2 linked regions of the Styela clava genome follow. The protein of the gene in region 1 purifies or fractionates together with the protein of each later gene. This does not show direct contact. Links are inferred from orthologs where the notes say so. Each region holds a gene or a part of one and is shown on either strand. Other genes may lie near its edges. The genes, in order: superoxide dismutase [Cu-Zn]-like; 10 kDa heat shock protein, mitochondrial-like.

Region 1 (8,848 bases):
TGCCAGGTTTATTTGGATTCTCAACTCCATGATGAGGAAGATACCAAGTTCGAGGACCCAAAGTATCACGTTCTTTAACAGTCAGCTTTCGCACCCAATCACGTTCGATGTTTTTCCTCATAGAGGTGCCGTACATGTCTCTCAGACCGTCATTTTCCAACAGTCGTTTTTTCGGATTCCTACATCTCGTACGGGCAATAAGACTGTTCTCCAACATAATGGAAATATCGCGACGCCACCGAAAGCCGACTTTATAATGCCCATCAACAATAGACGTTTTAGCTCTATTCACATTCGCAGCCACGCGATCTTCCACAGATTCGGCGCGCTTCGTGTTGTAGCTCATTACCATCGCTTCCGTACTCGAAAATTGCTTAACTTGGTCTTGCAAGATATTGTAATCATCGTGTAATAAATGACAATTAGCATGAATTAAATCGTCTCCACAAGCGCGTTTGTTTGCGCCTAGCAAAGTCCATCCGAGTGGTGTTCTTATTGCAATCGGTTCATCGTCTCCCCCTACACGTCCTTCAAGTTGAAAGTGGGCAAATGGAAGGTCCGCACCTATGAGCAACATAACTTTGTTTTCTCTAGTGTCAGGAAGTGATAATCCACGTAAATGATGGAAGGATTCAAAATCTTTATGACTTCTTTCAGGGTGGGGAATTCTGGTGCCGCATACGAAAACTGACTTTAGATGTAGTTCTTTGCCGTCGGGATTCAATTTGTCACGCACAAAAAGTTCGACCGCTTCCGAGTCATGCAAGGCCCCAGTTCCTCCGAGGGTGGTTAACATGAGCCTTTTACGACGTCCACGCAAATCCAACTTAGTTTTGAGTTTGGGATGGATGAGAGAGACCTGACTTGCCGAATCAAGCAAAGCAACTGTATATTCGGAGCGTCCATTAGCTCCTCTAACCAGAACAGGCAGCAACTGAAATTGAACTCTAGTTGTTACCGACACCGCATTGTTTATACCCTGTCGGTTTATTGGTCTTGTGACGCTTTCAAACATGCGAATTCCATGAATACATTTGTGATGTTTCCCATTGCATATACTACACTCGACATCACATCTACACATAAATGCACGATGGCCCGGTTCAAGACATTTAAAGCAAAGTCTGTAATCTACAACAAAGTTACGTTTTACATAATCGGTCGCACCGAAAAACGTCTCACAACTTCTCAAAGAATGGCGAGCATTGCAGAATTGACAACGTGATGCGTCACTATATGACGTATTATCGGATTCCAAGTTTGATAACGTTGAAAATGGAGTCGGAAATCGGCGACGAGCGCTTCTGGGCATCTCGTGGTCAGTTAAATCAGTTCTATTGATCACATTGCAAGTAACATCTGGAGAAAAAGGATTGGCGATTTCTTCAGTTCTTTCCCACAACCATTGCTCAAAGTCAATTAATGTCGGATTAGAGTTTTTGTGAATAAAACCTACAACAAATTTATTCCAACTCGAGTTCAGTTCTTAAGAAATCCTGCTTGAAACCCTCCTTACATTCTCGACGCTACTGATGTCAGCCAAATAACACATCTTTTTGAGATTCACCACGCAGTCACGCACGTCTGAGTGAAAATTTAGCAATCTATCGGCCGAAAGAGGCGACATACGTTTTCCATTTACAACTCGATCAAGCACCGCCCGTGCGATCAGTACCGGCTGTCCGTAGCGGCGTTTTAATTCCTTTAAAACCAGTATGTAATGACTACCGGCGGTACCTAATCCCTCAACACGACGCTTCGCCGAACCCGACAAATACGCGGACAATCTCACCATGCGTTGACCATCATCGTCTAACCGTGAATGAACATTTTCATAAAACAATTCAATGAAATTAGGCCAGTTTATAGCTCTCCCATCAAACGGACTTATTTGTACCGGCGGCAAATGATGCTCAGCCCACATTTTAGAATTTAAACTCAAAGATAAACACGTTTGCTCAGCTAGAGAAATGTTATCATTTACCGTTCTGGATCCTGCTTGATTTGGTTGGAGATTATCGATCCAGGAGTCTACCGATTGGTCTGGCAACGGCATTTGGTTTGCTGGTGAAGGATTTTGGTAATGTCTTGGAGTGTAAGAAATCGTATATTCACGACGTTTATCTGACGCGGTAAAAGTCTCTGGTTCGAAGCGGGCACTTTTTCTTTGAGTTGATTGTAACACGTCGTGTTCGTCAAAGTTATTGAACCTGTGGCTCATAAAGGGACTCTTTAAAAGAGTTGGTGTCTCTCGGCAATCGTCGGGTTCTCGTGCTCTAGATTCTCGAAGTTGGTCAGTCGCCGCCCCCATTTCACCACCGGACTGCTTGGCGCACGCTGGCTGGAGATTTATTGTATTATCGCTGTCCTCTTCCATTCTTTCACTTGAAATCTGAGAGTTCCCTTCGTCAGGAGCCACGCACGATCTTTCAGGTTCACGGTCGATGTAACTATCAATTTCATCGTTCATACCTTCAACTTCAGATATAACTTTCTGAACGCATTCTTCGAAAGCAGCTTTCGACTCTGCGTTGCGAATTTGAGGTAATGTGTTCGATATAATTTTATTATAGGCGGCCAGTTTAAAATGTAACTCTGTTTTTAGGCATGCCAGCTGCGATCTTCGAGCCTTCTCGTTTATCAAATTTCGACTTTTGGTCATGACTGATTCAAACTCAGTCTCTGTGTTGATACGCTTTTGTCTAAGCGTGGATAAGGATGACAAGCCCTCAAACGTTTCGTCAGCTGCAGAGTCGCCTTCTTCCGTAAATGTCGACGATGAAGCCACTGCTGCTCCAGATTCTTTAGTATTTGACTTCTTCAACAAATGCGTCATATTCAACTTTGTCAGATTTAGGCACACAGATGTTCCATGTCATACGCGTTTATTGTAAAACGGTTGACTGTAAATAAAATGAAATAATCAAAAAACAATCACAATATGAGGGCGGAAAGAAAATGCATAACCTAAAGTTAATAGAAAATAAACTTACATATGATAACGCTCCAAAGGCCTAAATCGACAAGAAACTGACAGGAAACGTGAACGATAACGTTATTGGCATAAAAATAGCAACTAAATTTAGAAAGCAGTTAATAAGAATGAAATATAAAATACATGAACAATTAAAACAATAAATGACGACGATGGTCATATGGGTCCCCGGTTACGATACCCTCACCACAGTTCTACCTAACGAGACCAAATGCCACCCACACGCTAAGTCAATAAAGCGGATAATGCGAAACCACACCACTAACATCATAACAAGATTAAACAAGAACGTCCTACGACGCGTAAAGTCGAGATGCAAGAGCCACGCGTGACACGTCGGATGCAGTAAAGCCCGCGAAACTCCGGTCAAAACAGAAAAGCAATCATCGATAAAAATTAGCCGGTCGGAACGCAAGGAAGAACAGCGTTCAAAATATTATCAACTGAAAAGAAACTTCTATCGCCGACAACCACGACGTGGGTTAGCAGGTTCGAATGTCGTGGGGGATGATGTGCGAGAGGATTGATGGATTCTTCTCCACCGTAGGGTGGTTCACGTCACCGCTGCTCGGTTACGGCTTTCTCCATTATCAGGTCTATGCATCTAAAACAAATAACTGACTGCTGGGCTTACTAATATCATAATCCAGAATTTGGCATTTGACTCCCAACTATAATCAGCTTGGCGAAATCTTTTTTTCTTCTTGTCTTCATATTGAATACTGTTCACTCTTGTTTACAAATCTGTACTCTGGGAATTTTATTAAATGGTGTGGCAAACAATTCTTATTGGACACATAGTGGGCATAACGATCGTTTCAATATTATGTTGTTGTTGTTCTTGTTCTTTGACACGTTTTGAAAAAATCGTTTTTCTTATTGTTCACTGGACCAATTGTTTTGAAATTTCCAGTGAATAAAGATTAGATTTTTTGCTAGAGGGCTATTTATTTTCTGCTATGACGTCACAAAATTATTTGGTGCTACGTGTTCATACATTTGAGCATAGCTCTCTTGTTTCTAATTGGAATTCTTATTTTTATTCTAATTTTTTTCACTTATTTATTTATTTTATACTATAAAATTTATCTAGATCTCTTTTTTCTAACTTTAATATAGCCCCGTGGTTGTGTGTGTTAGTGAATTGATTCAATAATTTTAGGAGAGTGAACAGGTACCAATTCTTTTCGGCAAAACCTTCCATCTTATATTCTGTTCGTTTTGAACCTTATCCAAGGTTTTGTTTGCTCTCCTGATTTCATATTCAGTTTTTATTTATTTGTTTTTCTCAATTATTTATTCGCCCTTTATGCTTTATGGAGCCGAAGTATACTTACCGTAATCTCCCGTTTCATTTTGTGTGTATTAAGGAGTTTCCAAAATAAACTATCTATCTATATACCAGGAATGGACTTGTACCGGTAACCGGACGAGGGCCTTGGCCGCCGTCCTATTGGTTGCCCTATCCCTTGGAATTAATATGCAAATCCTATCACCATAACGCGCAGTTTGATTGGTTGTTGGGTGGGTGTTGTTCCGAAAATTACCAAAGTTCAAATTGTTGGTTACCGGGTTTGCTGTTTCAGCAGTTGCAGCTTTGCAGTTGGGTTAGGGTAGTTACGGTATAAATTTACGTACCGGTACCGGTACGTTACCAAAGCAGTGCAGTTTGCAACAAGATTCATACTACATATACACACGGTATATTTCTGTACCGGTATCCGTTGAAGACAATGACCAAAGTGAAAGCTATTTGTAAGCTCGATGGCGACAAAGGAGTAAAAGGAGACATTTTGCTGGAGTTGCAAGGTGATGGTACTTGCAAAATTACCGGCATAGTGGAAGGATTAAAGGCAGGAAAACATGGATTCCATGTTCATGAATTTGGGGACTTCTCACAAGGATGCATGAGCACTGGTGGCCATTTTAATCCAAATTTAAGAGAACATGCTGGTCCTGCAGAAGTGGATCGTCATGTTGGAGATTTGGGCAATATCATAGCGGAAGAAAATGGACAAGCTGTAGTAGATATTACTGATAGTCAAGTCACCTTGTGTGGTGCGAACTCCGTTATTGGAAGGGCAATTGTAGTTCATGCAGATGAAGATGACTTGGGTCGGGGAAAATTCGATGATAGCAAAACTACAGGCCATGCTGGGGCAAGACTAGCTTGTGGTGTGATTGGGATTACAAAATAGATTTAAATATAATTCCAGGGGGTTTGATTATATTTCTGTATTTCTTCAGTCACATCCTCTATTGTATTTAAGCCGACATCAAAATTAACAGATTGCATTTTGGAAACTGGATTAAAATGTAATAAAACTGTAAAATGAACATATTTTATAGAAATCAAATATAACCTGATGTTATGATGATTAAATGTCTGAAAAATTTCATAATTTAGTTCATATTAATTAGCAAATTATTGCGTTAATAAGGAAAAGTTTCTCTACTACAATGTTATATTTTGGTGAATATAATTTAGCATCATGATTTAGTACCATTGAATGTGTAAAGTTGTTTTCGTCATTAATTTTGCAATCCCTTGAATAATCTCACTGTTTAGTGAATTTGTTCCCTTTTTACTCTTTTGTGTCGATAAATTGAAATTTAATAAACACTGTAATGATTTGATGTATTTTTTTCAAATTTTTGAAGATATCACCTCATCTGTTTGCAAACTTCCATGGAGCTGGATGATTATGGGATCATCTTGAAATCTCTACTGTCATATATGATAATATACACTGTATCAGATCACAAGTTATGAAATCATTTTCTGATATAATATTCATCCATTTTTATTTGTCGCCTATATTTCTTAACATCGTTGAATTTTGGGCTTTGTCCCGTAAGCATTGTACACTATTTATTTCATCCTTTGATATGTGTTATTTGATTCATCTTCAAATCCTGCACATTATTCATTCCGTTTTGGTTTTTTACATTAATAGTATTTTGTATTATTGCTATTTTGTCATGTTTTTTTCTATAAATCATGATAGAAAATACCTATTGTGAATATAAACAATTGAGACCTGCATTTTTCTAGAGAGTGCCAACTACATCTGTCCATGTCCATATAGTTAAATTTAAAACGAATATCCTTAATGGACTCGATAAATAACGAAAACACGATATATATACATATGACGTTTTTCTTTGTAAAGTGTGACTTAAATTATGATTTCTCTACAATGATACATGCGAAGGACAATGAAAAAATAGTGAATTCTAATATTCATATTTATATCTGGGTGATCTTCCCGATAGTTGTGGAATCCCCTCTGTATAACATAGTAGTTATTAGTCTACCGGTACACCAGTATTTTTTTTTATATGAAGGTTCTATATTTGTTATTTTGTAAGTTTTTTCATTGTGAATGGTAGAGTTCATATGTGTCTATTGCTTTTTTATCGCAGAATAAATATCTATTCAAACAAAAATAATGGCTTCTCCCAAAACAGCCGTTTGCATTCTGGAAGGAAGTACTGAAGGTGTCAAAGGCATCATCAATTTTAAAGATATGGGTGATGGTACATGCTCCATCAAAGGTGAAATTACAGGACTGAAAACTGGCCAGCATGGGTTTCATGTTCATCAATATGGAGATTACACTAATGGTTGCACCAGTACAGGTAAAATTTATTCACTTTTGAAGTATGTTTCGACGAACTGCTGTTGTCCAGAGAGTGGAATTTCTCTAGGGAATCAACATTTTGAAATTTGCATTTGGCCATAAAGAAATAGCTGATAGTTTTCCATACTTCTTTCTTTTTTGTCAAAATAAAGAGTAACCCCCAAAAACACAGAACCCATATATTTCTTCAAATTACTTCTGTGATAATAAGAGTAAAATTTGGTCTTGTTTGGGTTTGAAATTCTGTTTGTGTATAATTGATGAAATCTAAGATGTTTTGCACGAAAGTTATGTTCTCTCAGGGATATGAAGAGAAAGTAATTACAAAGTTTATGGGTTCTGTTTTTTGAGGTGAACCATTATTAGGGGAGAATTGGAATTGGAATTTTAGCATCTCAAACATTCTTCGCCATTCAGAATATAAATTTCGAGCTATGGCAAACTTTATTGAATTCTGCATCGGATTTTCTGCAAACTAAGCTGTACTATTTAATTGCTAAAACAGTGTACCATAATTAATATGTTAATCTTCAAAAATTTATTATTCTTGAGTGAATTTCTGCTTTGTCCATTCAGGAGGTCATTTCAATCCGTATAATAAGGAGCACGGTGGTCCTGATGACACAGAGCGTCATGTTGGAGATCTCGGCAATATAATGGTTGATGAAAGTGGGAAAGCCACAATCGATATTACTGATAAGCAAGTTAAACTGGATGGTGAATTTTCTGTTGTTGGCAGGGCAATAGTTGTTCATGCGGATGTAGATGATCTGGGCCGTGGTGGTTTTCCTGATAGCAAAACAACGGGTCATGCAGGAGGACGACTGGCTTGTGGTGTAATTGGACTTTCTCCAGCCAAATGACTAATGAGTAAATCGTCATTATGAGCAGTGGTGTCTTGGAATATGTAATCATGTTTTATTGTCTGTCTGTTTATTTGGTTTATTGTTTCCAAAAGTCCAGACTTTTTGTCTAATTTCGTCCTGATAATGAATGCAACAATTTTTATTTTTGCGTAAGTTGGGATATTGTTTTCTGTTGTGGAACATAAAAGTGAAAACTCGAAAGTAATTGATAATAATGTTTATTATATTTGGTTTATTATTTTTAGGTTTTCAATCTTGTTGGTACAGTTGTGCTTGAAGTTAAAAACATGAAGATCAATGTTTTTTAGTGGTTTTTATGTTTTGATCTGTATTCCTTAGAAATTATTCTTGCGAGTATTGCCCAATTAAATCAACAAATTGAGACAAAATCATTATTAACAACCTATATGTTGTATTACATAAATTTTCATGACATTTTTTTAAATTTTTTCTTCATCCAAAACATGTTCCAGAAACCTTGTTTACTGCTCCAATAAACAATTTTGTTCCTGAAGTTTTCTCATGAATGGCCAATACGTGTTCTCTCTACAATCATTGTTTTGTTTGTACTTTTTTTGTGATATAGATCAACCAATAATGATTTTGTGTTTTATTGTTTTTTCGTAACTGAAAATAAGTTTTGAAATAATGCAAACTTAGTTCAAGTCTATGTAAAGTTCTTTTCAGCAATATTACAACATTTCATTCGTGTATATTTGTGGATTTCAGATTATTAGATTAAATTATCTAGGTTCTTAGAACGGCATTGGAAATTTTTTTCATCGCTTATCATTGAGATGTCGAACGAACTACGTTTTGATGGGAAAGTTGTGATTGTAACGGGTGCTGGTGGAGGTAAATTTAGGCATATATTACAATTTTAATGTAAAGTTAATCTATTTAAGCCATTCAAAATCTGAATTAAATTTTAGAATAAAAAATAGATAAAACCATTCACAACATTTCTCAATCCTCCGATCTTTCAATACCAGATACACTTCAATACAGTTTATGAAATAAAGCTATAAAAATATCACTTGTATGTTAAAATTACTGCAACTAGAAATTGATTTACAAATTCCATGTCATATAGCATCCTTAGTTCAAATGTGTTCTTTTTTCCTATTATTATTTTTGTTTTATTATTTATAATTGTATCAGGAACTCTTTAATAACATATCTATTTATTTCAGGCCTTGGAAGAGCATATGCGCTAGCTTTTGCCTCTCGGGGTGCCTCTGTAGTCGGTAAGTGACACCGAAATTCATTTTACAATAGGAAATTTTGTTCTCTATCACTTCTGTTCGACATTTGTTTAGAATTGCCCTAAAAAAATTTTTGGC
Region 2 (7,258 bases), on another chromosome or scaffold:
CAAGGAGAGTTTGAAGCTAATGATCTGGAAAGCTCTTTATCTAAATCGTTTAAACTCAATTTGACACACGCGGAGGAGAATTGTCAACAACTCAGAATTACTTTTTATATATCTCACAAATATCCAGAAGTTGTGCCACATGTGACAATTGATTCACCAATGCTGACAAGAGAATCTTCCTCTGGACTGAACAGCGAGATGTCCAAGTTTGCGACAGAGAATAATCTTTTGAACAGTCAAATGTTATTAGACCTTATATTGTGGATTAAAGATAACGTGGCAAAATTTGCTTCTGGTGTAAATTCGAATAGACTTCAGGGTTGCGGAGATGAAGGAAGTCTTGCTAAGAATAAAACGAAGGAAATTTGTGTGATACAGCTTGATCATATGCGCTCAAAAAACAATTATCTAAAAACGTTACAAAAATGGGCAACTCGATTACAAGTCCAGGGTGTTGTTTTATTTTACAAGCATCTCATTTTTATAATCTTGTACGGTAACAAGAATGATATTAAAGAATATTTAAAAAAGATGCGAACTCAAAAAGTTGATATTGATTCAGCTGGTCATGCTTGTAAAGAACGGCTCATGACTATTTTATTAAGAGATTCTTATGAAGACGACCTTGTACCATTTGAGGGCTTCCATGTTCATGAACTGTCCGAAATAAACGAGGTGGAAAGCCTGTTTAGTGAAGGATTCACGTCCATGTTGTATGACATACTTAGACCATTGCTTACTCGTGCGTAAGAGTTCATTTAAATTCATTCATGGCTGTGAACAATAGAATGTGCTAATTGGTTGTAAAAATAAGGCCAAACACATGCTATGTTCACATTACACATTAAAATTTGTTGCTGTATTCTATTCTCGTCACATACTAGAAAACCACATTTTATCTGTTTTGAAAATCTTATGGGTATAATATCCAATATTAGTTTCACAATGTTCATACACTTGCTTTGGCTGTTTTTACTATATTTCTAAGGAACCCGTTTGGTATTTATTGTAAATGGTGGCTCGTCATTTTTTCATCTAAGGGATTGGCTTGTTTTAGCCTGCTACCGCATAGCTCTCTTATTATCTCCACTGAATTTGCCACTCACAGAATGTGTATTTTTACCACCACTGCACATTTGTTTGAAATTTTATATATACAACATGGTACATTATGGACACAAGAATTGTTTCTATCATACGAAATAAAGAGTATAATTAGATATTGATGACTCTTGATAGTTTTTGAACTCTGTTTAGCAGCAAGTCTCCTTTCTTTATTGTCTCCTGATATTGCCAGTTCTTGCTATCAGGTCTGTTGGTCTCAACGATCCCACCGACCTTATCAATTTTGCAATGCAGTCTCCCAACAGCTATGAATCTTGACAACTCCCTGTGTAAACGAGATGAGATTTTTTTTTTATTTGCAAGAATTAGGTTGATCGTATCAAGGTCACACTCACTCGGAAACAGAGGACGCCGATCTCTGAGCAAAGTATCAGAGGGCTCGTGAGACTATATAGATGTAGATATTCTTTTGGAAGGACAAGTGAATTGCGTGAATGGGAGTTAGCAGTTCAGATGCCGAATACAATTCATACTAAACTGATATACTCGATTGATAGTGATATTCATTTACTCATCAGGCAATGCAAATTGTCCACATTTCTGTTGCTCGTATTCGAATCAAAAGCAGAGTCCAAGACTCAATTCAGACAGACAAGGATTGAAAATTTTCAAGTACTTAAGCCCTTAGTTAGCGACATTCCAATTTCTAAATGGAAGATCAAGAAGAAATTTTTCTCGTATGCAAAGTAATAACAATATCCACATCTGGTAGCTTCCCATTGATGGTACAAAGTTCACCCCATAGCTAATATAATGATTCAGGTAAACATACCTATCAATGAATTCAACAGTAACTCCAAATGCTTCAGCCATATATTCTAATGTAAGACTACGATATGATTCAAGGAGTTGTGTATAAGCAAGTATTCTCATCTCACGAGTGTAGTATCTATAATGAGGATTCAGCAATCTATCTCTCTTCATTTCCACCTCAACTTGAGCTGTAATATTCAAAAATAAATAAATTTCACTTCTTTAATAAAAAGATAATATGAAATGAATTTAAGACATTTACATCCTTATTCCAAAATCACATCACACAGAGTATTATATTACCCAATGAAAAACAATTATTAAGAATTCAAATTTTCCACGTTCTAAGTCATACCTAGACGCTGGAAAAACTCTGCATAATGACAATCATACAATGAGAACAGGTAACTTCTGCATTCCTTATTGCTATGCAAAACTTCCAAGATTTCTGAACCTTTTACAACCTGAATTGATGTTTGAAAAGTTAGTTCAGTTATATGATTATAACCTGCAAAAATAGGGTAAACGATGGTTCAATTGCTAGTAATTACTCTTATCAACACTTGGCCCAATGTCCTAACTATAGGCTTGAATTGAGTTATCAATATATGTTGTTAATATGTACTGAAGTAAATTGTAGTTAAGTTTCGCATAATGATAAATCATCACTGAATTGTGTAGTAAAAAAATGTAGTAAAGTTGTGCATTAAATAGAACTCACTTTTTCTCTTAACTCGGTTCTATCAAGAGCAAGCATACTGATGTAAACAGCATATGTGACAAAGCATTTGTAATCCATAAGTTCATAGGATGTGAATGTTGATACAGTATCCAGAAACAAATTTGCTGATTTCTTGAAATCTCGAATCGCAATACAATACAAACCTTCATAAACTTTTAGTCTGTTTCGCCGATCCCAATCACCACCTTCCTCTATTAAACTGAAAAACAATAAAAGTTGGTATAGATCGTTAACAATCGTTATCACAAACACTTATCATAAACAGAAATAAATTGATGTATCGTGGTGTGAAAATGTTGACATCTGTACCCTGGTCACACTGTCTACCAATCCAGGATGTAAAAAATGAAGGCAGAATCGCTAGATACTTGCTACTTGTACATGGCTTTGTTTCGAGAGAAAATCCAAATTATATATCACCTAAGGACAAATAGTGCATGCCACAAAGGGCTTAATTCTAAACTAAAATGCACAACAAATATATTTCATACATTTTTGCCTTCTCTATGCTCTTGGTAATCAGATCATGATCCATAAAAAACAATCCCAGTCGAATTCTGTAGAAAATGATGTCAAGCTTGTGTCCAAGTGCAATGGTCTTATCATATGCTTTCTGGAAAACTTCGAGAGCGTCATCCTGAAAGTTATTTGAGGAAAGGCATAAATATATGTAATTAAGACTAATTTTTACGAGCATGTCTTTACTGTGCTATTACATATTGTTGAAAATCATGAAATTGTAGACTAATATTAGAACATTTAGAAGCTATATTGAATTGATGAACAGCTCATTTCTAAACCTTAATTGGAAGTGAGAGTCCTGACTTTGCATGTTTTTATTGACATTGGAGTCGCATTTTCAAACCCCCCGGAATCCGGAATCCAATTGAATATTTCAGAATCTGGATTGCAGATTTCAAACATATAATCAAAATGAATAAAGTTGACAAGGAAGGCTTGCATGTGACAAAGTTATTATAATCAAAATTTAAACTTTCTTCAACTCGGAATCGAGAGTCTGATTTGTTTTTCAATTGAGTCGGGCAAAAATGATCCCAAAATCCACAGCCCCAGTCGACTGTTATGAATAAACATTCTAGGGAATTGTTGTTACCTTGTTACCAATTTTGCACAAATATTCAGCCTTTGCAAGTAAAGCATCTCTGACTTCACTTTCATATTCCATTTCTTCAGTTTCTGTTATTTTATCTTCAAGTTTTTTTAATGTCTTCTCATTTGTATCCTTCAATTTCTTTAAAAGTGTATTGTTAATTTTCATTCCAAGTTCTTTGCAAACAATTTCATAATAGGGTGCCATCTCTGTAAAAAAGAAAACGTCTAAATTACACATCTTGTGGCATATTAATTTATTATCATTCAAGCATATTGATGATTATTGGTTGGTTGGAAAAGATGGGTCTGTATAAACTGTTATTTCAGAATAGGAGGTAATTCTACATTTAGGTTGGCACCATAGTAAACAAGAAGTTAAAGTCGGCCAACGTCAAGTTTGAAAAGAATGAATTTCGATTAAATAATGGTCATTGATACAATACAAACATTAATAATACAAACTTGTCACGACTCATGAACACATTGTTCATATATTATTCAATCAATCTTAAACTGTATAATCGTCATGTTTTCTCAAACTTAAAACAAATCTTAAATAAAATCATAAATGAGTTTTCATGAGTTTGAGAACAATAATACTGTAATAAAATGCAATAATATTCAGATAGAAACACCAATTCTTCTTAAAAACCAATTTGAGGAATTCATCCTAATTTTAGCAAAATAACTTCTAAAACTTGCCATTTGCTTCGATCGCTTCCATAAATTGTTTTTTAATTTTTGTTTGCTGGATTTCCTCATCGTCCGACGTTAATAAGAACTTCAACTGCGCGACTTCCAAGTCTGGAATCTTTTTCAGACCTTCTTCTTCTAAATTTTCAACCGGCATTATGTGATGTAAATGTATAAAATGCTGAAACTAAATAAAGACGGATTGAACTGAAACGCTACAGATAGATCAAATAAGACGAACACACACTAACTCAAGAAATGAGCTGATTCATATAATATGATTAAGCGATATTTTGATGGATTTATTACGTCATATGAATTAATGTTAATGTCTGTAACCACAATATTTTATTCAAGAAACACTTTTAAAATATTTTTATTCATTTATTTTAATATTTACATACATATTGAAACTTATTTTCCCAAAAGTATTCACTTCTCGTTGTAGTATGTTACTAGGTGTCACAATAAGTTGTTTATTTTTCATTTCAGAAACGCATGTTGCAACCCTGGTGAAAATCGAGCGTGGTTTTGCTTCGGGAAATTTCTTCGCCTCTTCTGTTGAGTTGTGTTTGACCTGCCGCATCGCGTTTAACGTTGAGGTGAGTTTTTTATGAGTGATTTTATTTTGAGCATAGCAGTACCGTTACTAAAACATACATCTGCAATTTTGCGTGGGACTTCTTGATCTAGCACTGCATCAGGGCTCTTACAGTCTTACCGTACGACCTCTGAATCTTCTAACTTAGTGCAATCACATCTCTATCATTTTATGAATTCAACCGGTGTTAAAACTAATGCACTATGCCAATTGGCCACAGAAAGAAATTTCCCTAGCCCAACTATCACTTGTTATGTCCGTATGTTTCATGGTAGGCTTTGTATTTGCCATAGTATTACTAATACTGTAAACAATTTTAGTTCTTTATTTTCACTATAATAGACTACTTATTTAAGTACACATTTTAAAATTACACAAAAGCGGGGTGCTACTTGTGCATAGTACTAGCTAGGATTCATTAAAGATTGAATAAATAAAGTATTTTTTGTACATAGCAAGAGGGGAATGAGGAGTTCCAAAAAAGCGAAGGGAGGAATTTGATGAAAAAAGACCAAGAAGTACGTGCTGAACACTTAGGATTCGGCACTCCTAATAAAATATGGTTTCACAGCACTTCTTATCTTATCGTTTATCTTTCAGAAAATCAAAAATGGCAGCAAAAGCTTTCAAGAAATTTCTGCCGCTATTTGACAGAGTGTTGGTTGAACGAAGTGCACCAGAGTTAACGACAAAAGGAGGAATTGTTCTCCCTGAAAAATCTGTTGGCAAAGTTTTACAAGCTAAAGTGGTTGCAAAAGGTCCAGGCACGAAAGACAAAGATGGCAAACTTATTCCAATGAGCGTTGACGTTGGTGATAGTGTTTTACTTCCAGAATATGGTGGCACAAAAGTCTTGCTTGATGACGATGAATACCATTTATTCCGTGATGGAGATATTCTAGGTAAATTTGAGAGTTGAAAACTGCTATTACCCATGCAAAAACTGAAATTTTCCAATCATGTCTGGAGCTACCATCGTTGCAAAAAAACTGGCAGAGCAGCAGTGTTTTTGAATAATTACCTATTGTAATATATTATCGTAATTCGCTGATACATTTGTGTGTATACTGCCGCTGTGGTCATTAAATCTTTCTACCAATTCTTGATGTTGCGGGGAACAGTTAACGATGCCGGTTGCAAATTTTGTATCATTTTAGAAATAAGTCTTCTATATGCACATATGACAGTCTAGAACAGGCGTGGGCCAGGGACCAAAAATTTTGCTCACTTAGACTGGCAAGCCATGTAAGGGTGATGTGAAAAGTTGAAGAATATTTACAGTGTTACAAAAGCAAATTAGGAAAACAATAAGCCTTTTGCGAAAACTAAACGTTCCTTGAGCTATTTTTCAGATAAAAGATCAAAATTTGGTTTTAGTTTCGTTGCGTAGCATCGGGCGGGCCGGATTTGGCCCATGTCAGGTCTAGACCTTTTTTCGTTATAATTGCGAGCCAATGGTGTGCAAGAATGCTCAAATGAACATCATTAGGACCAACTTAAGCATGAACCCACCCACGCATCCATTTTCACTAAATTATTTTCAAAATGCCCAGACACTTTTATTAAATGTGAGCCTCAAAACATCACTGCAACAAGATGACACTTAGAATTATTTGATACCACTGAAAATTCACAAGATAGATTTATTGAATGACAAGTTTCAAAGAAAAATATATTTCACCAGAGAAATCACTGATCAATTGCACTTGGAATATGGCATCAGGAAACAATTTAAACAGCTTATATTATTTTTTGATTTCTTTCTCGCGCAGCTGAACATCTTAAGCTTTTCGTCCCAATCGCTTCTTTGAGATAAGAACACACACCAATGTGCGGAATACAAGATGTAGCAAAAAAGACAAAGAATAAACTACTAAATTTTTACAAAGGAAAAAGATGAGAAAGTTTCAAATGTTAAATCAATAGTGTGCTACACATGTAGCTTCATCTAAGCTAATTGAAATAGGGGTAGCAATATCTGTAGTATTTTTTCATGCATATTTCATTTTAAACTTCTGAAAACTTCAATACTATATTCCCACTTAGCACAAATGCAATGTAATAATCCATGCCCAACTTCTTCAGACATACCAAGGTAAGTTGTCGAATGACACACCTGCTACTTTTCTCAGAGGTCTATTTGACATGACCATGGCACATAGAGCAGATAAATATTATAATAATATTAAGAATGTATTAGTTTGACAACAACGAAGTCCATGTATAATAGC

The links.
Region 2: the proteins of superoxide dismutase [Cu-Zn]-like (region 1) and 10 kDa heat shock protein, mitochondrial-like purify together in Homo sapiens (affinity purification with mass spectrometry; 3 studies listed by BioGRID, with this or other methods). This does not show direct contact. The link is inferred for Styela clava from reciprocal best matches to the Homo sapiens genes SOD1 and HSPE1.

Annotation. Positions count from the first base shown.
Region 1 is NC_135250.1:19,865,244-19,874,091, reverse strand, and holds superoxide dismutase [Cu-Zn]-like, read left to right. Parts: upstream 1-5,275; 5' UTR 5,276-6,447; coding exon 6,448-6,637; intron 6,638-7,215; coding exon 7,216-7,502; 3' UTR 7,503-8,235; downstream 8,236-8,848. Other genes in the region: uncharacterized protein LOC120337233, read right to left, coding at 1-1,312; peroxisomal multifunctional enzyme type 2-like, read left to right, coding at 8,303-8,360, 8,699-8,752. UniProt on the Homo sapiens protein: Destroys radicals which are normally produced within the cells and which are toxic to biological systems.
Region 2 is NC_135258.1:11,549,226-11,556,483, reverse strand, and holds 10 kDa heat shock protein, mitochondrial-like, read left to right. Parts: upstream 1-4,878; 5' UTR 4,879-5,028; intron 5,029-5,627; 5' UTR 5,628-5,637; coding exon 5,638-5,946; 3' UTR 5,947-6,126; downstream 6,127-7,258. Other genes in the region: RWD domain-containing protein 3-like, read left to right, coding at 1-750; 26S proteasome non-ATPase regulatory subunit 6-like, read right to left, coding at 1,216-1,390, 1,898-2,066, 2,234-2,342, 2,600-2,819, 3,112-3,257, 3,735-3,940, 4,436-4,583; KICSTOR complex protein SZT2-like, read right to left, coding at 7,224-7,258. UniProt on the Homo sapiens protein: Co-chaperonin implicated in mitochondrial protein import and macromolecular assembly. Together with Hsp60, facilitates the correct folding of imported proteins.